Linked DNA regions of Tamandua tetradactyla. The protein of the gene in region 2 purifies or fractionates together with the protein of the main gene of each other region. This does not show direct contact. Links are inferred from orthologs where the notes say so. Each region holds a gene or a part of one and is shown on either strand. Other genes may lie near its edges.

Evidence for each region.
Region 1: the proteins of NCK1 (region 2) and GIT2 purify together in Homo sapiens (co-immunoprecipitation; 3 studies listed by BioGRID and IntAct, with this or other methods). This does not show direct contact. The link is inferred for Tamandua tetradactyla from reciprocal best matches to the Homo sapiens genes NCK1 and GIT2.

The regions. Positions count from the first base shown.
Region 1 is NC_135331.1:21,456,023-21,464,052, forward strand, and holds the start of GIT2 (ARF GTPase-activating protein GIT2), read left to right. Parts: upstream 1-4,810; 5' UTR 4,811-4,961; coding exon 4,962-5,013; intron 5,014-8,030. Other genes in the region: ANKRD13A (ankyrin repeat domain-containing protein 13A), read right to left, coding at 1,841-1,936. UniProt on the Homo sapiens protein: GTPase-activating protein for ADP ribosylation factor family members, including ARF1.
Region 2 is NC_135341.1:80,872,805-80,880,236, reverse strand, and holds the start of NCK1 (SH2/SH3 adapter protein NCK1), read right to left. Parts: upstream 3,190-7,432; 5' UTR 3,083-3,189; intron 1-3,082. UniProt on the Homo sapiens protein: Adapter protein which associates with tyrosine-phosphorylated growth factor receptors, such as KDR and PDGFRB, or their cellular substrates. Maintains low levels of EIF2S1 phosphorylation by promoting its dephosphorylation by PP1.

The sequences.
Region 1 (8,030 bases), on a different chromosome or scaffold from region 2:
GCAATTCACTTTCTTCCCTAACAATGAATAGAAAGCTTGGTGTTTTCAGGTATTGGTATTGAAAGAGTATGTGGTTTAATGATTATAAAGAACCTTTCTACCAAACGGGATTTTAGTTCTGACTTTCTTGTACTTTCTCTTGACATTTCTCAAGAAGCAGAGGCCATAATACTGAGGAAGTGCAGATGCAAAATACAGCAGACACCTAAAAACCAGAACCAGTCTCATCATTTTTAAAGTTCCAAGGTGAGATTTAGAAACAGAGCTAAAAGTAATAAGAGAGGATTCCCTCTGAGCCCAATCCAGCAAAAGAAGGGGAATTAAATCATCAAGTATACTGGGAGGCCTAATTAGCAAATCTTTTCGTTTGGGGTAGATGTCATATCTCCTTAGCTCTTAACTCTATTATCTTATCAAGTCCACTGACTTCAAAAGTTTATTCCATTTGAACAGAGGGTTTAAATGAAAAAGGGAGACTTCTGACTTTTAATGGATGCTCAAGAGACTTAAAACATGCCCTTTAGCATTAACAGTTCACCAAACAGGGTGATGCTGACCTAGCCTAATTTTTGCCAACCATCCCTTTCCTCTAAAAAGACTTGACAATTACATGACCAATTTTGAACCATTCAAAAACCAGGCCTTGAGCACACTGGATGAAATGAGTGGACAACTACAATTACACCAGATTTCAGAGGTAGTTACAAATCCTTATCCTAACTGCTCAGTCTGTCAGCTTCTTACCTGAGGGCACCAATACCCCTCAAAATTGTTAGGATGTCTTTACAGCAGGGCTTCTCAGTCAACACACTTACTGACATTTTTGGCTGGATAATTCTCTGTGTGGAGGGTTATCCTGTGTTTCTCAGGATGTTGAGCAGCATCCCTGGCCACCACCCACTAGATGCCAGTAGCACATCATCCCAACACTCATTTACAACCAAAAATGTCTCCAGGCATTGCCAAATGTCCCTGGGTTAGGAGCCAGGGGAGGCCAAATCACTTTCAGTTAAAAACCACTACCTTAAAGGGATGGCAATAAATAAAAGACAAAGATTCAAAGCACTTTAGACAAGGAATGGATTTTTTAAGGATCTTATGCACAAATGATTCTCACTCTGGTAAGCATCAGGCTCCCTGGGGAGTTTGTTAAAATGCTGATTCCTGGGCCTCCCCACCCGGACCTATCAACATAGCCGAGAACCGGGGTTTGCACATAATAGCAGCAATACCCCCATTCAACTGATAAGCTAACTTGGGTCAGTGAGGGAAAATGCCTTGCCCAAGGTCACAGAGCTAATTAGAACCAGGACTCCAAACCCAACCGTGCCTTTCCTTACAGTAAGGGTGGGTGAGATGAGGCGTGTGCGCGCGCGTGTGTCATTCTCAGTCTTTGAGAGGCAGTAAGGGTGGATGAGGTGTGTGTGTGTCATTTTCAGTCTTTGAGAGGCAGTAGAGCCTATTGGTTAAAAGGGACCACTCTGGAACCAGCCAGCCTGCCTTAAAATCCCGACTTGGTATTTAAGAGCCAGACGACCTTGCACATAACCTCTGAGAGCCTCAGTTTCCTTCTCTGTCAAACGGAATAATAATCGTACCTATTTACCTCCCAAGGGTTGGAGAGGTTAAAAAAAGATCATGTATAAAGCCCTCGGCACAGGGCCTGGCACACAGTAAGCACTCAATACATGTCCTACTATTATTACAATGATCGGACCACGAGTGCAGAGTTGAAAGGGTCAGCGGGGCCAGGGGGTTGGGGGCTGGAAATGGGTTCAACGAGGCGAATCGACCCCCGCCTTCTCCCCTTCGGGCCACGGCCGGCCGCCCAGTCCCTCACCTGGCCCCGCAGCTCCTTCTCCAGCTGCCGGTAGTCGTTGTTCCAGACTAGAAGGTGCAGAGGGAAGTGGCTGCCGTCGTCGTGGGCCGAAGACATGGCGAGGAGACCTCAGAGGGCCCTCGCCGCCCGTTCACTGAGGTCTTGGCCCCGGCGGGGTCTCCGGGGTCCGTCCGTCCGCCCGGCCGGCAGCCAGCGAGCGAGAGAACCAGGCGAGCGAGCGAGGGGCGCGCTGCTCGGCCGGGTGGCCTAGAGAGCCAGGAGCGGGGCGCACGGCAGGTCGGGGGTCGCGGGCCGGGTCGGGGACCAGGTCGGCCGCGCCCACCCCGCGCCCCGCCGCGCTCCCGCCGGCGTTGACAGCTCGCGAACCGACTTCGGGGCCGAACTGTCCCAAACAGGGAAGTGCGGGGAGCGAACCACTGCGCGCTGCGGCAGGGGGAGCGAAGCCAGGGACCCGGCCGGGTGTCCTCTCGACCCCATTACCCCCTAACTGCACACCGGAAAACTCAATACCAACGTCTACACGGAGCTAGAATTCCCTCTCTTGGCCCGAAGTCTTAATAAGGAAAAATCGGTCTATCCGTCTCTAGCCTCGTCCCCCCTGCTTTATCTACCCACAGTTGTGCGCTCCACAACTGGGCCGCTTCCATTGGCTCTGCGATGGGGGGGGGGTGTCTGAGTGGCCTGGACTAAACCATCCCCTTGCAGCCTTTTTGGACCAGGGCAGAAGCTTCTATGATTTGTCAGTAGCCATTTTGGAAGTGGGCAACACCAAAAATAGTTGTAAAGGGAGAACTATAAACCCTGGGAAAGTGGCATCTAATATTTGCATAATAGAAGCATAGTTCTATCTCAAGGTTTCTCAACCTCAGCACATTTGGGGCCAGATAATTCTTTGTTTGAGGTCCTTTCCTGTGTTTTGTAGGATATTGAGTAGCTTCCCTCTTCTCTATCCACTGGTGGCCAATTTAGCACCCTTCAAAATTTTTTTCGCCAAACATCCCCTGGGGGATCAATGTCGCCCCCAGCTGAGAACCACTGTCTATATGAACTCCAAATTTGGTTATGATTCAAAAATATCTGTGGCACACTAATACAAGGTGTTAATAATAGAGTGGTTTATGGGAACTCTATATTTTATGCATGATTTTTCTGTAAATCTACAACTTCTCTAATTAAAAAAAGAAAAAAGAAAGAACCTGTGCTGGTAGTTTACTTCACATATGACTGTTATTTTTTTTTTTTTCATGGGCAGGCAGACACGCAGGAATCGAATCCAGGTCACCAGTATGGCAGACAAGAACTCTGTCTGCTGAGCCACCGTGGCCTGCCTGAAGCTAACCATTTGGATTTGTAATTATGGCTGGAAGGGTGCATATATAATACTTAGACTTTACCACAATCTGCAAATATGAAGTTCATCCTTGGATTTCAACTTCAGACACTGTATCTTCTTGAATCAATAAAGAACCAAGTCAGCTTATAGCTACTAACCAGCCTGAGCTCCATGCTGCTGCTGCTGCTGCTGCTACTGCTCAATTGTCTACAACTACACAACCTAGCTCAGCAAAGTTATTCAATGCATCCTAAAAGCATCCTCTCTGCCTTTCCTGCCTGTGCACAACCAGCTTTTCAGATGTCTGCAACGACAGCTGTTCGAGAATTCTGGGCTAATCCATTCTCCACATGTGTTGAACCCAGATGATTTGTGAGTCGGGGAACCAAAACAGGAAACAAGAGCATCAAGATAGCACCCATAGATTCAGACTGTGGAATGTGCAGGAACTGTGTGGCTATTTCCACATCACACATTTATCAAACTGGAGAGATGGATCCTGGGTCATGCTTCTGAGGCCTTTTCCAGGACTTCTTTTCTTTTCAGAAGCCTCATACAACTTAATTTCATTCTCTCCATCATCCCATGTTAATTGAACATCTCTCCTATCTCAGTCTGAAAACCCCACAGTGGTAGGGACCACTTCTGTTTTGTTCACCAGACTACCTGAAGCCAAAACAGTACCTGGCCCATCATGGGCATCCAATATTTGCTAAATGGAGATTATAATCCTGTTTGCATGTAACATATACAATAAATGTTCATTAGCGTTAGGCTCACATCTCTTCTCTCCTTCACACTAATTAACCTCACTTCATTGTGTTTATCTCACACCATCCTATAAATTACTTTCCTTCAGGATTCTTATTCTCAAATTCCAAGTATATGAAGAAGAGCAGTGATTAGAAAATAATAAAATACCAATAATAGTGGTGGTTACTATCTATTGCGGGTTTCCTATGGGGCAGGCACAACATGCTTCTTCATAAATTACTCCATTTGTCCTTGGCCAGATAATAAATATTCACGTTTTGTGGGTCACATTGTAGTTCTGTTGCATATTCTTCCTCTTCCTCTTCTTTCTCCTTTTTCTTCTCCTTAAAACCTTTTAAAAAGGTGAAGACTATTCTTAGGTAGCAAGCCGTATAAAAACAAATCGTGGACTCCGTTTTGCAGATGAGATTAAAACTGAATTCTAAAGATGAAAGCATCTAACATATTCTATACTTGACTTATTTTATTGCAGATCAACCTCAATAGAATGTAACATCCATAAGTACAGGAAATTTTGTCTGCTTTGCTCACTGCTGTTTCTCTCGTTCCTGACAATGTTTGGCACATAGCTGGGCTCAATAAGTATTTGTTGACTGAATGAATGAACTCGGCCAATGTTACAGTAAATGGCCACCGATTGTCTCAGGAAGGTTGTGGCTGCAGCGCTCTAGTCATTAGATTTTGCTGCTTCCCCTGGTATTTATCGGTGCTGCGAGGAGGCATATCTCTTCCAGGGGGACCTAAATTCAAGATTTAGAAGTAAAGCGAAAGATGCTGGGGAGGAGCCTGCCCTTACTCAAGATGGCGACAAGGCAGCGTGCCCTGTCCGGTCACATGACCTATATCGCCGAAGGGAGCCTCCTTGCGCCTGCGTGCTGCGCCGCTATTCCGAGTCGCTGAGGGGAGAGGCGCCACCGCTAGCGCCGCCGCAGGGACCCGTTAAGCGGAAGCGCTCCTGCCGCCGCCTTAGGTGTCCCGGGGCCCCTAGCTCCTGACGCGTGGGAGGCGGGAGCCATGTCGAAGCGGCTCCGGAGCAGCGAGGTGTGCGCTGACTGCAGCGGGCCGGGTGAGTCGCACCGGCCGGGCCCGCTCCCCTCCTCTCCTGGCCGGGACCCCTGCCCCGGGCCGCCCCCTCGGGTCCGGCAGGTCCCCGCCGGCGAGCCCCGCGCCCCTCGGCCGTGGTCGCAGCGAAGGGGAACCGAAGGCGGCTCTGGGGCAGGGCTTGTTCCAGGCCTGTCAGAGTCGGACGGGGCGGGGGCCGCCCCCTCCCTTCCTTCCCTTCCCTCTCACACCACCAACACCTCCCCCCCCCCCCCCCCCCGCCCATTCCCCTTCATCCCAGACCGGTGGTGGGGGCGGGGGCTGGGGCCGGGCCCTCTCCCCTAACAGGAAGGGGCTTGGGCAAGCCACAGGAAAACCAATTACAGAAGTAAACTGCGAACGTCTTCGCGGATGCGGCCCCCAGAAGCTGCAGGTGTCACCCCCACCGGTCACCCTGTCCCTCGCCCGGGGTGGGCGACACTCGCGGCTTCCTTCACCAAGGCACGTCGAGGGGCCTCTGGGGCAGATGACTTCCTGGCTTTTGACATCCCGCTCCCACTCCACGGGGGAGAATCCAGGACGTTGAGGGCCGGCAGCGCCAGGCAGCGCCTGGGAAACAGTGCCTGTCTCGAGTTTGGGAGCTGAACAGCCTGGGTTCAAACCTGGTTTTCCCAAGGGTGACCTTGGACTGGTGACTTTGTTTGGCCAAACCTCGATTTCCTTATTTTTCCGATGGGGAAAATTGGGAGTACTGTGCTCAGGGGCTAGGAAGATTCAGTAAATGTTCTTATGATCCTGTTAAAGTTTTTTGTTCTTTTTTGTATTATGTTCTTCAGTACGGAACCCTCATAATCTCTTAAAACTAGATTTAATTCCTAAGTCATATATTAATTACAGCTTACCAAGTAAACACAAAATCACTCGGCAGAATACACATCTGAGTATTATTCAGGGACTGTAAGCATGTTGTGGCTATTAAAAGGCCGAAGCCATTTCCACCTATGTGCACTTTTCAGATTTAGGGTTCCGAGCTGTCTTTGCAATTGGAACTGAATTGTCAGGTCTCTATGGTTAGATTATTATATGCTATTTTCAGTGCTTGCATTTATCTATGTTGTGTTTGAAGTAATTCAAAAGTCAGATGGTTGACTTGGCACAATAGCACCCAAGAAACAGTGTTAATGAAATCATAAACATGTTTTTGCAACTGTTTTGAACTTCATCTTGTGATTTGGAAGTTGAGACTGATTTTAAATTGTACTGTGATAACTCAAACCTACGTGGTTGTGTCATGGCCTGTACAATGCAACCAGGATTACCAGTTTCCTTTAAAGACGGGAAGAGGGGTAAAAGGGTTTAAAAAGAGATGCTTCATAATCAAGTTAGGGTGGGTTATATAAACTCCATTTTTATTCTCTAAAAGTGTTATTTGTTCCGCTTCCTTCTTTTCTTGCCTGTTTTCAGTTGAACTTTCAGAGATGTGTTTGATTCACGTGTCTAGCATCAAACTTCCTCTTAGAATGAGTATTCTTTACTTCTCAAAAGACGCTGTGGGGCTAAGGGGAGTTGCTTCTCCGTTGCTGCCCCGAGACTGCTTTTCACTTTGTGGCGTTTTGTACATTTCAGAACATTTTCTCTTCCATTGTATCATTTTAGCTGTTGTTTCATATGCATAGTCTACAGAGACTTGAGTCACTTCCTTCCTGTTTTGAGTATAATTAGGCTACCTTGAACTGTTCTGTGAACTTGAGCAGCTAGGAATTTGTGCTTCTTTTCTGCAAAACTCTGGTGAAAGAATTACCTTTCCATTGAGGAACCCCTTTGAGAATCTGATGAAAGCAAAGACGCCACTCCCCAGAAAATGCACTGGTATTCACACTCTCACACAGATTTTACTTAGGATTTCTCACTCGAGTTACAGACAATTCTGAAACCCATTTGTGGTGTCCATGAACCCTGTATAAGAAGCCCTGACATAAAATATCCAGATAAGCTGGAAGGGTTTTGCCCAACTTCATTCATGCAAACTTGATTTTGATTTTACTATGTTGTGACATTCTAGTATTCTTTCCCCAGGATTCTGGTACATGATGTTAAAATGATCATTTGAGAACCTTGCTTAAGGTGTGTTAAATCCTCACTGTCTTGGTGCTGTTTAATTTCCTCCAAGAATACTGTAAATCATCTGGGTGATACATGAAAATCAAAGCTATGCTTCAAAGCAAATAGGTTTTTATGGTCATTAACAGTAGTACCAGACTGCAAAAAAAAAAATGTTCCTATATATCATTTTAAATAACCCTCATCTTGATATCTTCAATCCTTGCTCAGTATAGTAGTACTGAGAGAGTTATGCATCCTTGAATTACTTTGTTTCTGTTTTGTTTTAGGGCAAACATTTAGCCACAATGACTTCTTAAATATTTCACTTATCTTAATGAATCTAGTTAGTTTTAAAATACGTCATACTCTGAGTGCAATTACCTGAAAAATCTGGTGAGATTTTCACTATACTGTACTATAGTAGTACAGTATTCACATGAAGCATTCACTGTTTTTTAAGTATTTCTAATCAAAAACTTTTCCCAGTGATCATGAATTTCAGTAGGTTCTTGAAGATATCTGAATGCTGTTTAGAAAAGATATAACAACTAACATCACTGAGTACTTACTATGCACCCATTACTTATTCTTTTCTACCCCGAAATGTAGGTATCATTACCATTTGACCCATGGTGAAGAGACTCAAAAGAAGTAACTTGCCCGAGGATATTGTACCACAAGTGGCAGAATTGGGGCTCAAACCCTGGCCTGCTTGTCTCTGGAGCCAACCTTCTTAACCATCATACTTTCAAACCCCTAGGGTTTGTCTTTGATTGAAATACCGTAATTTTTCTGTATATGGTTTGAAAGAGCTTGAATAAACTGTTAAAATGATTAAGATGTTTGTGGACATTGAAAAATTTCTAAGTATAACCCTTAGACCTGGTAGTTTGAGTGGCACCTCACTTCATTGTGATGGAATGTATATCTTCCTTTAAT
Region 2 (7,432 bases):
AGTTTTCTCAAAAAAAAAAAAAAAAAAAAAAAGGCTCATTTAGAACATTATACAATGAAATTCAGTCTATAAGTCCCCATCAGGTAATCAGGCTTTTTAGCTGTCAATCACCAATAAACACCTAAAGACTGACATCTGATGTAATCCTCCAACATAAAAGTTAGAGACCAAAAGAAATGGAAAAAAAAAACAACTTAGAGGAAACAAACTCTGAGAGGAGAAAACAAGTTGTTTTTTAAGTAATGTTATTTCCTCAGAAATTAAAGATTTGCAAACATGAAACAAGAACTCTATACTATATAAAAACGAAATTTTAAGAGAATAAAGAACTCAAAATCTTTACAGGAAAAATGAAAACTCCAGCAGATGGCTTAGGAAATAAAATCAAGGAAACCACCCACATAAAATACAGCAAAACTACTAGACGAATAATAGAAGAAATATAAGAAAAAAGGAAACTAGTCAAAGAGGTCCAACCAAATAATAGAATGTTCAGAGAAAGAGAAAGAAAAAGGAGGTGACAGAAATACACTGAAAAAATAATTCAAAAAACTTCCCACACCTGATGAAAATAATTTTGTAGATTTAGAAGACATAATAAATGTCCATGAAAACAGCACATCCTATGAAATTTAAGAATACAGGATATACAGACTTCCAGAAAAGAAACAAACATTACACAGGAGCAGAAATAAGAATTATCTTCAGAATTCTCAAAAGGTTCACAAGCTAGAAAACAATTGAGCAACACCTTAAAAATTCTGAATGAAAAATATTTCCAACCTAAAACTGGTCACCCAATCAAACCAAGTGGGAAGGCAGAAAAAAGGTTTCCACAAATGCAAGGTCTCAACCTTTCACAGGAAGCTACTGTAGGATATACTCCTTCAAAAGGAGGGAATAAACCAAGAAAAAGAACTGCATAACTCACAGAAACAGACTTAACACAGGAGAAAGGCAAAGGGAGTCACCAGTTTTATGATAAAGGGGGAAATTTCAAAAAAACTATTATGTACCAGATACGGAGGGCAGGTTCAAGCAGCTTCAAAAACTGGTAGATACCGAAAGTGCAATTCTATTCCCAGTATATATACACCCAAAAGAAAGGAGCATGTATATCCACTGAAAAACTTAGGCAAGAATATTCACAGCAACTTTATTCACAATAGCCCAAAACTGGAAAACAAGCCAAAAGCCCACCAATGCTTAATTTAAAAGAAGAAAATTGTAGTATATTCACCCGTAGGAGTATTACCAACTGCTGCTACACCCAACATCATGATGAATCTCACAAACACAATGATAAGCTAAATAAGCTATCCACAAAAAACAGTACATATTGCTTGCATTTGCATTAAATTCAAGAACAGGCAAAAGTAATTTAATTCTCACCTAGTGACAGGTGAGAATAGTGGCTATAGGAGAGGGGGCATGAGTCTTCTGCCGCCCTGGAAATGTTCTAAATCTTGGGTGATGAATATACTGATGTCTTCCCAAATTGAACAATTCGTTGAGCAATATATTTACATTTTGTACTATTTTCTCTAAACAAAGTTAGAGAAAACAAGCTTTTTCTTTTAAAGAAATTAAGGAGATTTTTAATCCGATTCCACAACAGAAATTAATCAAAACGTCAAAGTCAAAGGAAAAACAAGAAACCCAGCAGCGCAAAGCATCACTCAATGTCTAACAAAGCATTCCATCTATGGTTCAGGTTTTACATGGGCCTCAAAGCACTGGGAAGATCTGGGCTAACAAGTAATACGTGGAGAGATACAGCAAAGAATTTAAAATTCAATACATGAACAAACACAACTGTGCACAAGACTTGTACACCCTGTAAACTGTATTTACAGATATTAGAGTTAATTCCTACAAATCACAATTTTCCCAAAGAAAAAAATCCCAGAGTTCTGGGTCAAGATGAAATGAAACTACTATTGGTTAAGCAATGCAAACCTACTGAGTAATCTAGCTTTAAGGGGATGCCTATTTAAGAACGGTCCATTACTGACAACTACAAAAAAAAAAAAACTTTTCGTTGAATTATTTCCCCCATTTAATCTGTGACCTCGCTGAAAAATGGGGGGCTTAATAAATCGTTAATGTTTTTTCATAAACCTATCAGAGTAAGATTCTTTTTTTAAATCTTGCAATACCTACCCGTTTTGACCAGACACTGAGATGCTTTTCTCCCCTCCGAAAATGAGGTTAGAAAATTCTCCTTTAAACCCTTTTTATTCTTTCCTAACTAACGGTTAGAATTTTCGGTGACTTCAATTCCTCAGCTCGACATCAGATAAGCGCCTATAACGTTACCTTCAGCTCTTGCACAACACCTAGCTTCCCAAGCTTCAAAGGGCGAAATTAACTTTTATGGAAATACATTAGGAAAGGTTACAAGACCAACCTATCAAGATAATCTTTTAACGGATATATTACAACTCAAGTCAAAATCCCGCAGCCCGAGCAACTCGCGAATGGAACTAAGGCTGGTCCGAACCATCAAAAAAAAAAAAAAACCACCCAGATTTCCCGAGGATGAGGAAAGCTGCTGGGGGTGGGGGAGGGAGGAGGGGCCGTCCATATGTCCACCCCTCAGCGCCCGGCCCGGCGCCTCCCCTCCCCTCGGCCGGGAGGTGCCAGCCCCTCCCCCGCCCGGCCCTTCTCCATCCTGTCCACACCTTCCCCGCCTCGGTTTAGGCACACGGCAACCAGCAGGACTTTCTCTAAGAAGGCAAGCAGGCTGGGAAGCGCGCGCCGCACAGCCGCCCACCCGGGCCTCGCAAGGGTCGCCGGCCGGCGCGCTCACCCCGACGCGGTGTCCCGGGGCCAGACAGGGAGGCCCGAGGGGCGCGCGGGGCCGCGGTGCGAACGCCCAGGCCCGGCCCCGCGGGCTCCCCGCCCCCCTCCGGCTGCCCTCAGCTCGGAGCCGGCAGAAGGCGCCGGGGCTGCTAACTTCGCCAGAGAAGAGGAAGCGACACGGCGAGTCACCAGCCGGGCGGACACACAGGGGAGGGAGAGAGATGCGGCCTCCCGGCGTGGCTCTGCCCCGAAGCCGCCCCGCCTCGCCTCGACTCACCTCTGCGGCGCCGAGGCCGCTCCAGCTCCCCTGAGGAGCCCACCAGGACGCCGCCGCGGCCGCCGCGATGGCCGTTACGGCACGAGGCCTGCGCTCCGCCGCCGCGTAGCTCTTGGGAGAGGGGCGGGGCGGGGGCGGAGCGCGCGCGGCCGGCGGGTGGGCGGGCGGCGGCGCCGACTGGCCGAGCACTTACCGGCGGATCCGCCCCGACAGGAAACCTCGCTCTCCCAGCGGGTCCTGATAGGCTCGCCCGTTCCCTTCTCTCCAGCCCCTCCCTCGACGGTGGTTGGTGCCGCTCTAGGATTGAGCAGGCCGAGCTGTCAATCAAGCGCTGAAGTGGGCGTGGCGGGAGCTGAGGCTGCGCTGCGACCACAGGCCAGAGGACTAGCGGGTGGGCTGCGCTGGGTCGGAGTCTCTCCGCCGCTGCTCCCCGGCTGCTGCAGCTGACGATTTTGAGCCTTGCTGCTCAGCGCCCGCAGAGCCACTCCGCTGCAAAAAGTCACTGCTTGTGGAGTTCAGCCCCAGCTGCTCTGAGAATTTACTTCCTCCCTGGATTTTGTCCCTGAGGATCTTGGCAGCTGAAGGTTCCTGGGGGCGGGGAGCGAGCAAAAGGGCTAGGAAATAGGTACATGGGAGGGGAAAAAAATGCAAGCTATATGCTTATATTTGGTCCATAAGCCGAAATGAGCTGGCGCTGAGGGCCTTGGAAGGGCAGCTTCCAGTCTCGCCTGGGGTAATCGTTCTCCGTGGCCAGTCCCGGCCACCTGCTGGGTAGGCAGTATTTAGTTCTCCCCCCCTTCCCCCAGCCCTGCAGGCCCTCCCCAGCCCCCGGCGACATCGGCCTAGTTCCCTGCTCCCTCTCTTTGTTGCTCAGTTTAAGTGTTGCTTCCTCCGAGAAGCCTGCAGGCTTACGTTACCTTTCTCGGATTGCAGATCCGTTTCCCAACAGAACTGTAGTCCTTGTTCCCATCTAAACTGTAAATTCCCTTAGGTCAGGAACTATGTCAGTGTCTGTTCAGCTTTTCCCCAGGGCACATGAAAGACAGCGGTAAATATTTGTTTAAGGCGTTAATGCATCTTTCCCTCCTTTAATCCTGTCCCTGACTAAATCCCAGGGTCATGGCAGTTATTTGTATTTAACGATTCAACTACAAAATGATCCGTTTGCGTGCTGATGTATGCATGTGGTTTGCCTGCCATATGGGGAATCACAAGGTCAAGCACAAATCGCCTGTAGTTACTTCCGGGCCTCAAGTTGGCTGCGCCAAGTAGACCGTGAAACACAGCTGGCCAACAGCTACTCTGTAGCCACATTCCATTATGAGCAACCGAATCAATAATGCAAGTGAATTTGGGGTTTGTTCTAAGGGTCTGAGTAACTTTGCGTTATCATGTCATGCTATTCTTACTTATTAAAAGATCTCATAAGGTTTATAGCTTGAGATAGTAATTCTCTCATTTTTGAAGTGTAGAAATGATTATCTAGATGTTAAATGATTTGTCCAAAAGATCACACAGCAAACTGTTAGGACCTGACTCAATTCAATTCTAGTTACGTGTTTAACACGTGAGGAGGGGGAGAGGGGTGTAAATTCAAAAACTGGTAAAATAGAATCCTAACCTTCAGGTAGCTTATACTGATATCTGAAGCAGGGAAGATAATCCCAGAAAAAAATATGCTCGAGTCATACATTTAAATTTAATTTTGTTAAGGGAATCTGTCTTTTGAATGGGCCAGTAATCTGAGCAGACCTTTCACAGATTTCTTAACTTGTATGTCAGTTATTTAAGCAATAGAAGCAACAGCTGCAAGGAAGGGAGAGAGCTTAAATCTGCTTTTTCATAGAAGGGTGTCAGTTCCCTATAAACTTAACTTTTTCCTTTAGTCTGCTTCATAACACATTCTTACTAAGAATGTTAAAAATATCTGAAAAAATGTATGAAAAAGAGTCAAAGTAGAAAAATAAGAAAACAGCCAATTTTCTTATTGAAAACTGAAATGAAAGAGGAAAGCATAGAGAGAAAGGATAGTTAGGCAGAAAATCATCTATGAAAATTTCAGTTTGGTGTACTTAGAAGGAGGGAGTTGTCCCAGAGACCACCTTTTGCACACTCTCCCCTACTTCCAAACATATACAGGCACATGGCTTATCTCTGTCAGTGGAATGCGAACCAAAAACAGGAATCATCTTTGCTAATTATGGCTCAGTGGAACAGGGACTAGCCAGAATTAGACAACAACAAAATTTAGGTAAAGACTAATGACTTGTGGACTGAAGGTGGGGTTTGGGATATGGGCAGATAACTGTCTAGAAACAAAAACAGGTAGGTGACTCATGTCATTAATCCAAAAGGATTTGGGAAGACAAGGAAGGGAAAAATGAGCCTCCATGTTCCAAAGCCTTTCCTGGGAAACTATAGATAGCTTATAGTTATAAATTATTAGAGAGAATGATAGCATCACCAACAGGCAGGAATGTTTAGACCAAAAAAGCCCTATCAGCAAAGGTAAGTAATTAATCATAGGCTCAACTGTGATGTATCAAAGTTAGTAGACCCTGGTAACTAAACAATGTCTGAATTAAACATTTTCATACTTTTATGGGAATCTGTTCTACACACATTGATTGAGGGTCCACACTGTAGTAGGTACTATAACAAGTACTGGAAATTTAAAGCTCAGTCCCTGCCTTAAAGGAGCTCTATCCATTTCAGAGAATGCCATACAAATATGGCATTAATGCAGTAAATACAATAGATATGTCCAGAGGGACATAAAGTCAAAAGGCAGCAAAGTTGTGTGATCAGGCTAGTCGGTCAATTAACTAGGCAGAAAAGAGAAGGGCATTCCATGCAGAGGGTCCTGTAGGGGGGGAAAAGGGGGATTAAAAATAGAGTATTTCTGGAACAGAGGGTGACTAGAAATGTAATCAAAGGTAGGTCGTTGAAGATCTTGTTAAGTAAAAGACCTTACACCTCACCCTATAGGCATTGAGAAGCCATCAAAGGGCTTTCTTTCAGTTGTTTAAATGTCATTCCATTGTTGACTGTCCTCCACTGTATCTAAGTTGACTGTAATTGTAGTTCTTATTATTTTTCTGTATGTCCTAGTTCTTTTTTCTGGCTGCTTTTAGGATTTTTTCCTTGATCTTTCTTTATTGGCAAATTATGATGTTTCTAGGTGCAGTTCTCCCTGTGTTTATTTTGTCTAGGGTTCACTGAGTTCCCTGGATCTGTACGTTGCTGTTTGTTTGTTTGTTATCAATTTGGAAAATTTTTGCCCAGTAGTTCTCCAAATTTGTTTTCTACCTGATTCTCTTCTCTCTCCTCTTCTGGGACTATAGTTTCACTTAGCTAGGCATTTTAGCTAAGTATACTTAGCTCTGTTCACTTTTTTCAACTTTTTCTTTATGTTTTTCAATTTGGGTAATTTCTATTGAGATCCAATGTCTAGTAATCCCTGAAAAATCTGAATGTTGACATTTTCCCAAAGCACAAACATACTACCAATGGCTGTATTCCTTTGGAGAAGGTTTGAAGACATAACCATCTCAAGATAAGACCATACAGAGTATTTAGTGATTACAAGATAGGATAACAGAGAGTATTTAATATTGGGTGTAGATCAACTAATAAAGCAAAAAGGAAACACTGATGTAGCTCACAGGTGATAAGTACAGGGTGAAGCTTCCACTCCTCAGACTTCTGAAAAAGAAGAGGTTGGACGATCAGGCCTTAGAAGCTTAGAGGAATGGCCCCACTGAGCTGGAGCTCAGAACCTTGAGGAGGGAAACTGTCCCACTGGTCCTTCTGTTTCTGAGAGGGATAGGAAGCTAGTTTGGGGGTTGCCGAAAGAAACTCAAGTCTGGAACCAATTGCTGCTCCTGCGGAAAGGATTATTGCTTATTGCTGGGGTAACAATGACCGGAACTGCAAGCAAACAAAAAGGAGGAAGTCCCTTCTCTGCCTTCCCGGCTCCCTCTAATGCCCATTATTGGTGGAACATAGTGAAACACCAGGTGACAAAGGAAAAATGTAGCTTGCAGAGTCTAAGCCATCAACGAGCAAAGTATAGATGAGTGAATTTGGAGCTGAGAGACAATAATTACCAGTGCCATATCAACATTTGTGCTAAGATAGTAATAATGGCCCAAAGTAAGAAAATACTACCTTATATACTTTTATACATTTTAGATCCATTTTAAAAGACTCATATAAATTTTGCAATACTATGATTACTATTACTATCTTTTTCAGGGTTAAGGAGTGCCTTTACTTGCCACAAAATTAGAAAGGGCATTTTTGGAAGAGAGATATACAGCTGAAGGCGCCCTGCCCCAACATAAGGTC